Arabidopsis thaliana: one gene and its partner. The protein of the gene in region 2 interacts with the protein of the main gene of each other region in a biochemical or structural test. Each region holds a gene or a part of one and is shown on either strand. Other genes may lie near its edges.

Region 1 (7,915 bases), 450 kb from region 2:
TGAATCGGGGAAAGGAAACTGGCGGGAAGAATTGGTAGTGAGAATCAAAGAAAGGAATCAGCTTTTTAGGGTTTTGGGGTTTGATTTCTCAATTTCAAAAAGCTTTGCTTTTGGGATATCAAAAGTCTCTAGATTTTTAGCTTTTAACGTCAGAAACAGAAACCCAAAATATTCTCAATAGATTTGTGGTAAGATACTGAGATTGGTGAAAAAGTGATCATGGGCTAAAAAGAGGTTGTAGCCCAAGTTCACCTTTTTTTAACTTGGGCCACCAAATTTATTTGGGCTTAAAAGAACGTAAATTATTTTCATAATAATGTCCTTTACTCAGTAGTAATTTCAAATCATTTCTCTCTTCTCATGTCTCATGAAACAACATCATCTACATGATCTCTGCTCTGCATTAGTAAATCACCACGAAGCTTAGTGTTAATAAGTAGCTCACCAAAACAAAAAGATGCATCGCCTGCAACATGAACAGAAGATGCATATGCAGAATTGGAAAGGATCAGAGACTTTAAAATTTCTGATTTTTCTTTAGGGCTAATATACGTATAATAAGACCATACGAGATGCAAAATGTTAATAGGTAAGTCGAAAATGTAAAATACATAGAAAGACGAATATAGGACCTCTTAAATCTTACAAAACATTTGAAACCAATCAGTCAAAAAACCAACCATGTCGTTTTGGCAATCTTCTTTGTACACCGTCTTTGCTCTCACAGCCCTTAAAAAAAGCGTCTTTCTTCTCTTCAGACAAGGGTGAAGGCAGATTGTACTGTTGATTGGAACCGTGATGCGATTGTCTGCGAAGCAAACTGCTGAAATTGTTTCTTTGCATCTGCCAACAAGAATTGGTGAATGCCGATTAGAGTCACCTCTATATATGTACATGCGTATGTTCTTTGTACAAAAAGCTAACAACCTATTGATCTACAGCTGGTTTGATTTTACACAAAATCAGGTCAGTTGTGAAAGACTAATGAGGATCTTACCTTTCTTGCACTTTGTGAAGCCGATGATATTAGCCACATTGAGGGACAAGCAAACGCCAACAACAAGCAGATAGTCAGCTTGAAATCTAATCAGAGAAAATACCCCAAGGATAAACCATGCAGCTGCCTGAAGAGTGAAAAAAGGAGAAGATTTAGCTGTGAAGACAACAGAAAAAGACAGCAAACAAATCCACATGTTTTTAATGTTTACTACGCTCCAGTACCATAGACATCAAATCCATAGCTACCATCTCATGGCTACATCTCACTCTTTATAGTCGCTTGTAAGGTAACTGAGCATATAAGTTTGTAAGCTACCAAGTTTTAACTAATATTATACTTAGTCAGTGTAAGATCATAGGATATACTCCAAATGGCCGACTTGGTTCCAGCAGATAATCTTTCCCTACTCAACATATATTGTAATGTGACTTCGCATGTGATTTGACTCCAATGTCAAATGCTATATCCCACTCATGCAGAGGGAAAAACCATTTGTCGCAAACTTCTTTAACTGGTAGCTTCTTGGGGGAAGATATTCAGGTGTCTAGCGATCTATATATGGGTCTACATGGGATTCTAAAAGACTGCTCTCAATTCTTATCTACCACCTTTGCACAATATGCTTCAATATAAGGGACATGTTTATTCTTGCCTATTCTTATTCCACTATAAGGGACATGTTTATCCTTGCCTATTCTTATTCCTAGTCATCCACTAAAGTTCCACAATGATTGTGAATGGGTTTTAAGTAATTAGCTTATGCTGCAACTGAAGTGTTAGATATGAAATACTTACTGCAAGGTAAAGTGTCCACCAGAAAAGCCATGAGTCTTTCTTGTTCATCCGAGCCAAAGACTGTATAGAAAAATGATGAAAACACATGAGTATACAAAAAAAAAACGGAAAGGGAAACACAACCCCACATTTCTCGACAGGCTGAACCCATATCCTTGTGAATAAGTGAAGAAAAGCTAACCTCCTGATCAAGAGACTCGAATTTCCAGACACTTTCTCCCAAGTCATTGATCTCGTTCCACCACCTGAGACCAACCAGTATACGCCCACTGACATTCTTAACCACCCAGAAGTCAAGAGCAGCAAGAAGAACAGTGACTACAAAGATGATGACAAAGCTGTTGAAGAAGAGAGCAGAGAGAATGTAAAACGCCAACGCAGCACCCTGGTCCAAGAACAAATACAAACTGGTTTAACATTTGTCCAATGTCTAACATTTCCTTTGACTAAACTGATTTATACTCTAAATCATACCTTGAAGAGAACATGGAAAAGACATGTCCTTGGGTTTGCATAATTTTCAACTGGTGCCTGTATCTAAGAAAGCATAAAGTTTTGGTAAGATTAGCTGTAGCAATTTTACATTGTAATAACCATTACGATGCTACCCAAAAGAGTACATAAAGATTATTATCCGCCAACACATCCTCTAACCTAGCAATGTTTATTTAGCTCAAATGCATAATTTCTACGGATTATCGGAGACCAAAACGTCGAAACACAGATCTGACACAATAACATCTAGATCGAACAACTAGATACAGGTTAATCAAGAATCTGATATGCAATCGAACTCAGAAATTAAGTCAGAACAAAATGAGAGGAAGCAGCTGAAAATTCACCTGATTATTAGGGTCCATCTTTCGAAGAATCCAAAAGGATCAATCCGAGAAAAAGAAGAAGTAATCTGCTGATCAGCAGAAACGAAACACCTTCTCCGTTGTGGAAAGTATCGATCTTCCCTCTGAATTTTCCCGAGAAAAAATTTCTGTATCAGATCTTCAAAACTCTTGCGCGTGTCTGCTACGTGATTTCTTCTATTTTTGATAATTTCTTTCAAATGTGTTTTTTAATTCTCAACGAGCCCGATAACTCTTCTCTGGCCCAATAATATTTAAAGAAGTTAGGCCCAATTATTCAAAAAAAATGGTAATTACGATTTCACCACAAAAACTTGTGTTTCGATCAAAATTATCCACTATCCACAACAAGGCAAAAGAAGAGTTAAGAAAGAAGAGGACGACAATGGCTGTAAATATGTGACCATGAAATGGCGAGAGGCTGAGATAATTGTCTTATCCCTTCAAAATTTAAGACTTTTAATGATCGGAAGGAACAAGATGACGAGGTCCCACGAACCACCATACACACTTCAATTTCAAATAAGAGCTTTTCTTCAGTTGTTGCTCAGAGACTTAACCAATCAACCATGGCGAAGATGATGATGTTGCAACAGCATCAGCCTTCTTTCTCTCTCCTTACTTCTTCTCTGTCTGACTTCAATGGCGCTAAGCTCCATTTACAAGTCCAGGTCTTTTTCATCCTTCGTTCTGACGACTATCATTATCAATTTTATCAGATGGGTTCTGCTTTTGTGTGTCTGATGAGCCAAAATCCGTTCAGCACATTTCAAAACTATTCCTTTTAAAATGGGTTTAAGCTTGTTTGTTCGACTTCTTGAGCTATGGATCATTGTGTCTATATTAATGAATGTGTGTCTAAAGTCTTAGTGTGGTTCTTGTTTCAGCTCTGATTTTGTATTATGAGTAAAGAGTTTTATGAGCTTCTTCGTCATAATTGTGAGAGTTTCTGGTTTGTGGTTTGGCTCTGGTTTGAGTTGTCTGAATACCCCCCTCATTTGTGTCAAGTATGATTTGTTTCTGTGACGCTCTGCCTTCAGATTCTATCACTAGTCTTAGAATTGAAACTACAGTTTGTATTTTGGGGATAAGATTTTTCTTATAGAGTTGGCTTTGTTGTTAAAATTGCAGTACAAGAGGAAGGTTCATCAGCCAAAAGGAGCACTCTATGTTTCAGCGTCGAGCGAAAAGAAGATTCTGATAATGGGTGGTACTCGATTCATTGGTCTGTTCTTGTCCAGGATCCTTGTCAAAGAGGGACATCAGGTTCCACTACCGATCAAACTCTCTTTTCAGCTAAAAATTTAGTTTCCGTTTCTGAGTGACCAATGGTTGCTTTTGCAGGTTACATTGTTCACAAGGGGTAAATCTCCTATTGCCAAACAATTGCCCGGTGAATCTGACCAAGACTTTGCTGATTTCTCTTCTAAGGTATTACATGAATCCTTGTAAAAAACTAGTATGCACACTCAAATATAATATACATTTCAGATGATAGGAACTTGGATGATTAGGATTCCAATAAAATAAATGATTTTTCTCGGCCTTTTCTAGATTCTTCACTTGAAAGGAGACAGAAAGGACTATGACTTTGTGAAGTCAAGTCTTTCAGCAGAAGGCTTCGATGTTGTTTATGATATCAACGGTAACAGCTAATCACTTTGTTCTTACTGTAAATTCAAGAATATCTAGTCTTTTGCCTTTGACAACAAAGATTTTAAGATTTCGTATAATTTATGCTCTCTTTTTTTCTCAGGGAGGGAGGCCGAAGAAGTTGAGCCCATACTAGAAGCACTACCCAAACTAGAGCAGTAAGTAATACATAACATCTATCAAGGCCTAGCTTGTTCATTTGGTTTATAGCTTTCAAAACATAGCCCTTCAAAATTTAAATCTTCCGTTAATGTTATAGGTACATCTACTGTTCTTCAGCTGGTGTTTATCTGAAATCTGATATCTTGCCACATTGTGAGGTATGTAAAAGATATCTTATTCTTATTCCTGGAAGATATGAGCTTGTACTTTTCTTGAATTAGCCATAGAATAGTATGATTATGTAATTTGATCATATGATGTCACCCAGAAGTTTATTATCTAAGGCCATTTGTAATAACTTTTTATTTGGGACATAACTGATGCAGGAGGATGCAGTTGATCCGAAGAGCAGGCACAAGGGGAAGCTGGAGACTGAGAGCTTACTGCAATCAAAAGGTGTAAACTGGACTTCTATACGTCCTGTCTACATCTACGGTCCATTGAATTACAACCCCGTCGAAGAATGGTTTTTCCACCGTCTAAAGGCAGGTCGCCCAATCCCGGTTCCAAACTCTGGGATACAGATCTCACAACTCGGTCACGTTAAGGTCAGTCACACTTTCTCTAATTCTTGAGCTTCCTTTCATGTTCAGAAAACTCATTGTTATAGGGACCCACTGACTGAAACTCAGCTCTGATCAATCTTGAAGAGTATTGATCAATAACATCAAATCATTCTGTAATTTCAGGACTTGGCAACAGCCTTTCTCAACGTGCTTGGTAACGAGAAAGCCAGCAGAGAGATATTCAACATCTCGGGGGAGAAATATGTTACCTTTGATGGGTTAGCAAAAGCTTGCGCAAAGGTACATTCTTTTCTATTGGCTTTATTGTTGTCTCATCAATCCAAATCGTTTCAAGTACATCCTGGTGTGGTCCGTTTGTAATAGATATCATACTCTGAGCTTTTTGGATCATTGCTTGAGTAAACTTATTCATGTTTTCAACTCTCTCTCAGGCCGGTGGGTTTCCGGAGCCAGAGATTGTTCATTACAACCCGAAAGAGTTCGACTTTGGGAAGAAGAAGGCATTCCCTTTCCGTGATCAGGTAAAAACCACAACGTTCTAATGATCGAGGCTGCAACATGAACGATTCCAATTTAGAAGTTGAGATTTTGATATATGTATATTCTCTTGCAGCATTTCTTTGCATCGGTGGAGAAAGCAAAGCATGTCCTCGGATGGAAACCGGAGTTCGACTTAGTGGAGGGTCTCACTGACTCATACAACCTTGATTTCGGTCGCGGAACATTCCGGAAAGAAGCGGATTTCACCACTGACGACATGATTCTGAGCAAGAAACTTGTTCTTCAATAATCGAAATCCTAAGAGTTGCTCATTCTTGGCTTGTATGATTCTGATCACCCGGTTCTCTTAAAGTTCTGAACTTTATTGTCATCTCACGTATGTTATGGTCCGGATTTTGTTCGACTTTTCTCTAAAGAAGTCAAGCTAGGGACGATGAAGAAACCGAGAAAGTAAGTACACGAGAAAGAGACGGTCTGGCTCTTGACTTAGGAACTTAGGAATTTTGGTATCAATTCGATATCCTCTTTCTAAATCTGAACCGAACCAAAATTACAACCATACCGACTACCGAGCTAATTAAACTTTAGTTTTAAATGCGGGCCCCTTTGTATCATATAGCCCATTAACCGATCGAACCGAACCAAAAAATCGAATTCGCACGACTAAATACAGATTTGACCCGTGCTTGGTTATGCCCGCTACATACCGGTCAAATAAAAACTCATTTGGGCTCCAATATTTAAATTTAGAAGCCCAACTCGTAATTGAAAAGTCCAACTTGTGAATATTATTAGTTTTTTTTTTTTTTTTTCATCAAATATTAATAGTTTATAGAGACATATTTCATTGGTTGTAATTTACTTATCTTTTGGCCTATTTTTAGTGAAAAAAATGATTAGTTGATTTTTTAAACGTCTGAAACTTGTATTAGTGATTAATTGAAAATAAAAGAAAAGAAATGTAAATTCTATTACTCTATTGGTTATCTAAATGTAAATGAGTCATTCTCCGGAATTTTGTTTTATGTTTTTTTTCTCTCGACTCTTGTTGGATCATTTAGTTCTCACTGCAAGTCTTAATCTTGTGGATAGAAGAATCTTACAAAATTCTTGTGAAATTTAGATTCCAAAGAATATACTACGAAAAAAGATTTAGTCTTCTTCCTATTTTTTGTTTGGTCAGGATTACTTAAAGTCGTAGCTCCATGTGAGTTTATAAATATCATCTTATTCTTTCTCTTTCTCAACATATGTCGGTACGTCTTTTTCTTTTCACGTATGTCGGTACGTCAAAATGTTATAGTGCTACTCTTAGATTGTTACATTCATATCAACATCAGAATACCCAACAATACTACATACATATATCCAACTAGTCAAATACTCTATAAAAAACTAACTAAACAATTCAACAGACAGGATAAAAAGAAATTTGGTAGTCTATTGAGCATTTTGGCTTACAAGTAAAAGATCTTGAAACATATCAACGTAAACTAATAATGCATATTTTTACCAAAACAAAAAACTAATAATGGATATATACTATAACATTTTGGCTTTTGGCCAGTTAACAAAAAGAAAAAGAAAAAAAAAGTTTAGAAATATTAAAATTATGACGTTAGGACAAAAGAAGAAAATATCAAATTTATAGAAAACAACCACTACATAAATAGTAGGTCGGCCATGGGTCGGACAAAATAGATTACTTAACAATTAACGAGCAGCAAATTAGCTTTGGGTATAGTAACAACCAATCAATGTTCCCTCAGCTTCTTCTTCGTGGGCTCCATTTAGGCCACGTGGCATTATCACAGCCTTGTATTGAATTCAACGGAGATCCTTCAACCAATCACGAGATTTCGTTAGCGCTGGTAGGGCCCTCTCTCGCTAAACACATGGGGTAGTATCTAAAGTGGACCTGTCACACTGCATCGCCATGTCATCATTTCGGGCATCTTCAACTTAATACGAACTTACGAAGCTTTCCCCGGTGGATAATTAACCGTTTTATTAATTAGCCATAATCACGGCCTCAAAGCCTATATAAGTTGTTTCTCACCAACAATCAAATCACTTATCAACAACTCAAAACTGATCATCACAAAGAAAAGAGTTTTCTCTGATAATCTTTCTCGGACAAGATGGCACCTGAGATGAACAACAAGTTGAGCTACGGAGAAAAGAAGAGAGCGTACGTTACGTTCCTCGCCGGAACCGGAGACTACGTGAAAGGAGTGGTTGGTCTGGCTAAAGGGCTAAGGAAAACTAAAAGCAAGTACCCATTAGTGGTTGCTGTGTTACCTGACGTGCCGGCCGATCACCGGAGACAGCTATTGGACCAAGGCTGCGTCATCAAGGAGATTCAGCCGGTTTACCCACCGGATAACCAAACTCAGTTTGCTATGGCTTACTACGTC
Region 2 (6,812 bases):
CTTTGCTGATGCATCCTTTTGGTTCTTAGAAGTTAACTAAACAAAAACCTGTTTTCTATATCTGCATTTTCAGAAAGAAATAATGTTGTTGATATTGGAAGTTCTCATTGATCTTCTTTTGATTTGTAGTCCACATCGGTGTACAAACCACCCGATTTGAACAGAAATATCACTGAGATATTTGGAAAGTTAATTAACATATATAGAGGTACAATCTCTGGTGTTTGTATTCTAGACTACTCGCTTATAGTAAGTAAGTAACAATACTCTTTCTTTTTTTTCAAAAGCTTTGGGTGAAGATAGACGGTCCTTTAGCTATTACAAAGCTATCCCCGTCATTGAAAAGTTCCCCACTAGGATTGAAAGCGTTGATCAGCTCAAACACCTCCCTGGAATCGGAAAGGCAATGAGAGATCATGTAAGTTGAGAAATGCTTCAAATGTTTTGTCTAGGTTCTGTGTGTGGGTGTCAAAACTGCAAACACTTACCCTTTTCCTAGTGCATACCTATAACCTTTGTTTTGATGTATTTCTGTGAGAACAAAGTCTTATTCTTCTACCTGAATTTGGCAGATTCAAGAGATTGTGACAACAGGGAAGTTGTCCAAGCTTGAACATTTTGAAACAGATGAGAAGGTAATTTTGAAGTCCTTGGTTATAGTTATTTTGCTATCTCCCATTTTCAATTAGATACAAGCTCACATGTAGAGGCCATTTGCTTTTCTCTTGTTCCTTTTTCTCTTTAAAGAAAAATACTGTCAATGACCGAACTGGAGCTAGAGATGTCTGATATGTTTTGTTTACCACTATAAATGTTTCATTACTATGGTTGAAGGTTCGTACAATCAGTTTGTTCGGGGAAGTTTGGGGTGTCGGTCCTGCAACTGCACTCAAGCTATATGAGAAAGGACATCGCACACTAGAAGACTTGAAGAATGAGGATTCACTAACGCATGCACAGAAGTTGGGGTTGAAATATTTTGATGATATCAAAACACGAATTCCACGTCAGGAGGTGCGATTCTTAAACTTCAACGTGAATTTTGTTTGTCTTTATTATCCTTCTTGTAATTTTCTCCTCATATTTCTTCACTTTCTGTATTGTAGGTGCAAGAGATGGAACAACTTTTACAGAGAGTCGGCGAGGAAACTTTGCCTGGCGTATGAACTATTCAGTTTATCGGTCTGCTCCATATTTGGGTGATAAAAGTTTAGTGAAATCCTAACCAACATCTTTACTGCAGGTGAATATTGTATGTGGAGGATCATATAGACGTGGGAAAGCTACTTGTGGAGATCTGGATATCGTTGTCACCCATCCTGATGGACAAAGGTACCTACAATCTTCTTTCCTCATCTTCCTGCGTTAGTTTCCTGTAACAAAGTTTACTTAAACTGTTTTTTCTTATTGTCCTGACCAGTCACAAGGGATTTTTGACAAAGTTTGTAAAGCGTTTAAAAGAAATGAACTTTTTAAGGGAGGATCTCATCTTCAGCACCCACAGTGAAGAGGTAAGATGATCTGATAAAATTATTTAAGAGAGGATCTCATCTTCATTGAAAACACATTACTTCAGTTGTTTCAGTATCTTATAAAATGATCTCTTTTAGCATTAGATAAAGCTTTGTTCTCTCAGAGTTGCATGTGTAACAAAAATTCTTGTTCAATCACAGCTCCTCAATGATTTCCCTTATTGTGCAGGGTACTGATTCAGGCGTTGACACGTATTTTGGTTTGTGCACTTATCCTGGTCAGGAGCTACGGCGCCGTATCGATTTTAAGGTAACACCTGAAAACTCCTAATGTCACACAATGCAGAAAAGAACTAAGTGGGTTAGTCAAAGATAAAAAGGACAATACCATGATTGATTCAGCTATGTCTAGGTTGATCTCTTCCCGGAAGATCATTCAATAAATAGTCTTTTTTCATAGGTCTATCCAAGGGATATCTATTCGTTTGGACTCATAGCCTGGACAGGGAACGACGTGTTGAACAGAAGGTATGGATATGATTTCATTTGTATACATGTCTCACTAAACACATTTGTTGGTAGATAAAGAACACAGCATATGTATATATATATGCGATGATAACTGCAGGCTGAGATTGCTAGCAGAATCGAAAGGATATCGACTTGACGACACTGGACTATTCCCAGCTACTCACAGTTCTAGTGGTAACCGGGTAAGTAAGGGAGAAAAGTGAATTAACTTGATGTGAATTCTTGGGTTTTAAAGTGAAAGAATGATTATGTTGAAGCTGTGATAATGTTTGTCTCTCAGGGTGCTAGAGGAACTGCAAGTCTGAAACTCTCAACGGAGAAACAAGTTTTTGATTTCTTAGGATTTCCTTGGCTCGAGCCACACGAGAGGAATCTCTAAGGCATCACAGGCACACAGCCTTTGGTACTAAATTTTTTTTTTTTCTTTTTGAATAGGTTCTGTATGTAAGTAATCGGTTCCTTTTTGTAATTGCATATCCATGGACAACTGATTTAGATGTTACATATAATGCAATGCAATGTACTTGTATTAGAAACCATTGCATATCTTTAAGGTAAACTAAGAAAACCTATGGTACTGAGGAAACTTGGGATCTCAATTTTTTTTTAAAATACAATTCCTTTACTAAATAATTAATTACACGTGTCATAAGATAGTTGGATTAAGTGTGGAAATAAGAGTGTCAAATGTCCCACATCGAAAAGCCAGCAGAAAACCAATTTGTATATATAAGGACACAAAAGATAGATGGTCACGACCTTACTTGAACAGGATCTGTTCTATAGGCTCGTACCTCTGTTTCCTTGATTTCTAAGGAGACAGGCCCTAAACCCTGGTTGATGAACCATGACCGTGCGGTCAGAGCGTGATTGATGGCTACGATCGTCTTCGGACGCATCCGGTGCTGTAGAGGATCGTTACTCGGCTTGGTCTTCCTTGCCGGGGTGGTCGCACGGCGGTCTGACAGGTTCTTTTTATTTTACCCTCGGTTTTTTTTTTTTTTTTTTTTTTTTTTTTTCACCCTCAAAACTTTCAATTTCTTACATTTTCACCCTTTAATTGAAACCTCGCTAAAACCCTCAGCTGTTTTATTGCAGAAAACAAGAGATAAGGTTGAAGAGTGAAGCAAAGCTTAGTAATGGCTTCAATGCACGAAGCTCTGTTCTCTTCTCGGCTTCTTCAAGTCAATTCTTCTTTTTCCTTCCGTTGCGCTCTTCCAATTATCTCTTCACCAGCTGCAGTATCTTGCGCAATCAAATCGACCCAGTTTTTTAAACAGCGTTGTAGAACCAAAGTGAGGGACTTTTCTCTATCTTCACTGTCCCGGAGAGGGTTCGTTTGCAGAGCTGCTGAGTACAAGTTTCCGGATCCCATACCTGAATTCGCCGAAGCTGTGAGCTCATTTCCTCTTCTTCTTCAACTCATTTTTGATGGATGATCGAAACCTAATTGATGTGTGATATAACCAGGAGACTGAGAAATTTAGGGACCATATGTTAAACAAACTATCAAAAAGAGATCTTTTTGAAGACTCTGTTGATGAAATTGTTGGAGTCTGCACTGAGGTAATCTCAAATCTTCTCACCTTCACTCATGTATATCTGTTCGTGTCTATGTGAGATGTCTTGAATTGTGGTGTTTTTAGTAATTGTGTTCCATTTCAAAGAACTCAAAAGTGGTGTAATTTTTAGTCTCAGTTTCTGATATTTTCTTAACATGCCTCAAATCTCTTATTCTTGTGATGAATGAGAATCCTGATCTGAAATTGTTTAGGTAATGTAATCATCTTTTACTGTCAATATGCTAGTTTTGGAATTGCAATGGTGATGTTTGATCGAAGTTTTCCTAGTTTGTATGATTGTGATTATGCAAGCATTTTCCTTAAATCTTGAGGAGTGATTTTGTGGTCTTGGACTTAGTCGAGCTTAAGGCCTAGAATGGAGAGGGTCATGTGATTCGGTTTAGAATGTGAAGGAGTGGTTTTCAATTTGAACCCATCTTGAAAGCTCAGTGAAAAAAAGTTTGTATTGTTTGAAAATGAGATGCTGTGGTCTTAGTAATGATGCCTTGGTGAGGATATTAATCTACGTATGGTTTACAATGAGTCGACTGTAAGTTTTTGTTTCATGAGTGATACTTTAAACCCCATTCTCTAAGTCTGTTATATGTCTTGGCATGAGACTCAGGGAGTTTTAACAGTTTTTTGTTCTGCACCATTGTGATTATTGACAGATCTTCGAGACGTTCTTGCGCAGTGAGTATGGAGGACCTGGTACACTCTTGGTGATACCTTTCATTGACATGGCAGATACTCTCAACGAAAGGGAATTGCCTGGAGGTCCACAAGCCGCCCGAGCAGCTATTAAATGGGCTCAGGATCATGTAGACAAGGACTGGAAGGAATGGACCGGCACTGATTAGTCCCCTGGGAGCATTAAGTATAATCCGTGAGTTATTTAGTTTAGTAGTGGGGTAGCAGATGTGTCATTGTAAAACTCTGATTACTATGTCGTGAAGCACTTAATCTTTGATCAAAAACTGTTTGGTGTAAACTTGTCCAAACGACTGGAAACAAGAAAAAGAAAAGATGGCAAAAGCTTTTTATTGTTCTTATTCAGAAGCTTTGTGTCCTCTGAATCAATCTCACACATCAACAAAAACCACACTTCTTACAAACTTCCATCGATTTCCCCATCTGCAAAAATATATACATCGACGATAGAGGGAAAAAAAAGGAAGAAGAAGTTCTGTTTTGTTGACTCTCTTGAGCTTTCTCTGTACTTATCTCTTCACATCTTCATCTAGACTCCATCCGTTTATCCTCTGTAATATCCAGGAAAAAAAAAAACAGAACCAAAAAATTATTCAGTAGAGTTTCGGATCAGGCTCTCCACTCTAGATCCAGATACTGTTTCGAACAAAAACCAAAAACATTCAGCTAGTAGCTTCGGAGATGCTCTGAAGAGACGGCCTCCATGTTTTAGACTTTAAGAGGGAAGTTGAATTCCTTATAACACGAAATTGCTTCCCTTGTTTCTTCTCCTATCAAATAAAACACAAACCTCATTAACTTGATTCGTCTATCGATCATTTAGACGAAAGAGGTCACAGTTTTTTACGTCACAATTCAAAAACAGAGTAAAGATAGATCTTTTAGCAAAATCCCATGTCTTTACCGGAACTTTCTTGTCCGAGAACTTCTTCGCCGTGGTTGTCTTCTCAATCTGATGTTTTTTCGTCTTGGCGCTCTTCTTTTCCCGTAACACCTTCATCACTTCTGTAAAATTACAATAACCATCTAAAACCATAAACTCCAATCACACACACGAGGAGAAAAAAAAAGAAAGAAAGCAAAAGGCGAAACCTTGTGAAGTAATGAGCCGGTAAGCGTGACCGAGCACAAGATTCTCCGTTGGCCGGAGAAGCTGGACACGTGTAAACCTCACAGCCTTCCTCTGCTTCTTATCATCTCCCTTCTCCGTCGCTGGAATATTCTTCTCTTCCTCCTCTGACAAAGGAATGATGAGAGAGACGTAGTGACCAGGATACATAGCCATGACCTCGGTGACGGATACAGAGCTATAGTACCGGTCGATAATCCCGCCGGGATGTTGTAGAACCAGCACTGCCGCATTCACCGCCTGACAATTCCCCATATATGCAGTGGGAGAAAAAAACACACTATCTTTTGATGTTACCTAAGAAACGAAAGAAAGAAGAAAAAATGAAAACAGAGTAGAACTCTGTGAAAAAAGGAGAAAGCGGAAGAGAGGAAAAAGTTTGCCGGCGAGGGTAGGTCCACACACTCTGCTACTCTCACTTTAGCTTTACTTATAAACATGCGAAAATCCCAATTTTATATTATGATTTTATTTGTTATCACTAGTGTAGAGTTATTTATGATTTTTATTATTGTTTATGTAGATTTGACTGTGATCAGTGCCATCGGGAATTGAATAGGAATAAGATGGTCAGAATTTAAAAGTCGGTTAGATTGGACAGGTGGCGACGCCGAGACTATGGAAGAAATGATTAAGATGTGATTGTTTAAAATGGAATAGGTTTGGTATACAGCATGAGGAAAACAAGCACTATCACATACCAAACATTTTGAAATTGCTATCAGTGATTTACTTTGTTTTATATTTTACTATTTGGTAAGTTTGAGTTACTTTAGATATTCTAATCTTTTTTGAATTAATTGAAATTAAGCTGAATGATTTTTATGGTTCAGAATGATTTGTAAGATTTTGTAATTCTTAGTTTTTTGTTTACAAGAGATTATTTTTGTCAACGGGCAAAACAGAACGTTATACTTCAACATTAAACGTAAATAACGTAATGAAGACTTTTGTTTTCTCTTTTGCAAGATCCAATGCATTTCCACTAAGGATTGTTTGTTTTATATATCATCTACCTAAATTGATGTATAATCCACTTCATCCCTAAAAAGAAAACAGAATATATTTACATCAAATGTTTACTTTCCTTTCAGTTTCTCTTGTATATTTTCGCATATCTATGACTTGATTAATGAATATTATAACCCCCACTTCATCCATAATTCAGTTTCTATTGAAATCTTTGTATGACATCAAATGTTTACTTCCCTTTCAAGGAATTAGGAATATTTCATAGCAGCACTTTAATCATTATCATCAGCGCGTGCATGGAGTTAAATGCGAATGTCTTTAGGCGTGACAGAAGTGAAGCTCAACGAATTATTATGTAGTAGATGTAGTTAGATTAACCAAGTGTAATTTAGTTTTGCTGGTTAATGTTATATATCTTCCAAAGAGGTTATATTA

The links. The genes of interacting proteins can lie anywhere in the genome.
Region 1: the proteins of PRIN2 (region 2) and CRB form a complex in vitro, tested with the Arabidopsis thaliana proteins (one study listed by BioGRID).

The regions. Positions count from the first base shown.
Region 1 is NC_003070.9:3,012,249-3,020,163, forward strand, and holds CRB (chloroplast RNA binding protein), read left to right. Parts: upstream 1-2,988; 5' UTR 2,989-3,224; coding exon of another isoform or gene 3,225-3,326; 5' UTR 3,327-3,557; coding exon 3,558-3,662; intron 3,663-3,786; coding exon 3,787-3,921; intron 3,922-3,999; coding exon 4,000-4,086; intron 4,087-4,209; coding exon 4,210-4,300; intron 4,301-4,411; coding exon 4,412-4,466; intron 4,467-4,567; coding exon 4,568-4,628; intron 4,629-4,796; coding exon 4,797-5,018; intron 5,019-5,159; coding exon 5,160-5,276; intron 5,277-5,428; coding exon 5,429-5,518; intron 5,519-5,610; coding exon 5,611-5,787; 3' UTR 5,788-6,090; downstream 6,091-7,915. Other genes in the region: AT1G09330 (golgi apparatus membrane protein-like protein ECHIDNA protein), read right to left, coding at 755-843, 998-1,124, 1,796-1,855, 1,977-2,180, 2,270-2,332, 2,638-2,655; GolS3 (galactinol synthase 3), read left to right, coding at 7,640-7,915. UniProt on the Arabidopsis thaliana protein: Binds and cleaves RNA, particularly in stem-loops. Associates with pre-ribosomal particles in chloroplasts, and participates in chloroplast ribosomal RNA metabolism, probably during the final steps of 23S rRNA maturation.
Region 2 is NC_003070.9:3,466,867-3,473,678, forward strand, and holds PRIN2 (Serine/Threonine-kinase), read left to right. Parts: upstream 1-2,645; 5' UTR 2,646-2,971; exon of another isoform or gene 2,972-3,101; 5' UTR 3,102-3,142; coding exon 3,143-3,397; intron 3,398-3,473; coding exon 3,474-3,569; intron 3,570-3,584; exon of another isoform or gene 3,585-4,052; intron 4,053-4,236; coding exon 4,237-4,425; 3' UTR 4,426-4,622; downstream 4,623-6,812. Other genes in the region: Pol{lambda} (DNA polymerase lambda (POLL)), read left to right, coding at 130-208, 288-418, 573-635, 835-1,014, 1,107-1,160, 1,244-1,332, 1,421-1,511, 1,702-1,782 and 3 more; AT1G10530 (D-ribose-binding periplasmic protein), read right to left, coding at 4,939-5,046, 5,181-5,281, 5,369-5,660. UniProt on the Arabidopsis thaliana protein: Involved in redox-mediated retrograde signaling to synchronize the expression of photosynthetic genes from both the nuclear and plastidic genomes, especially in excess light conditions.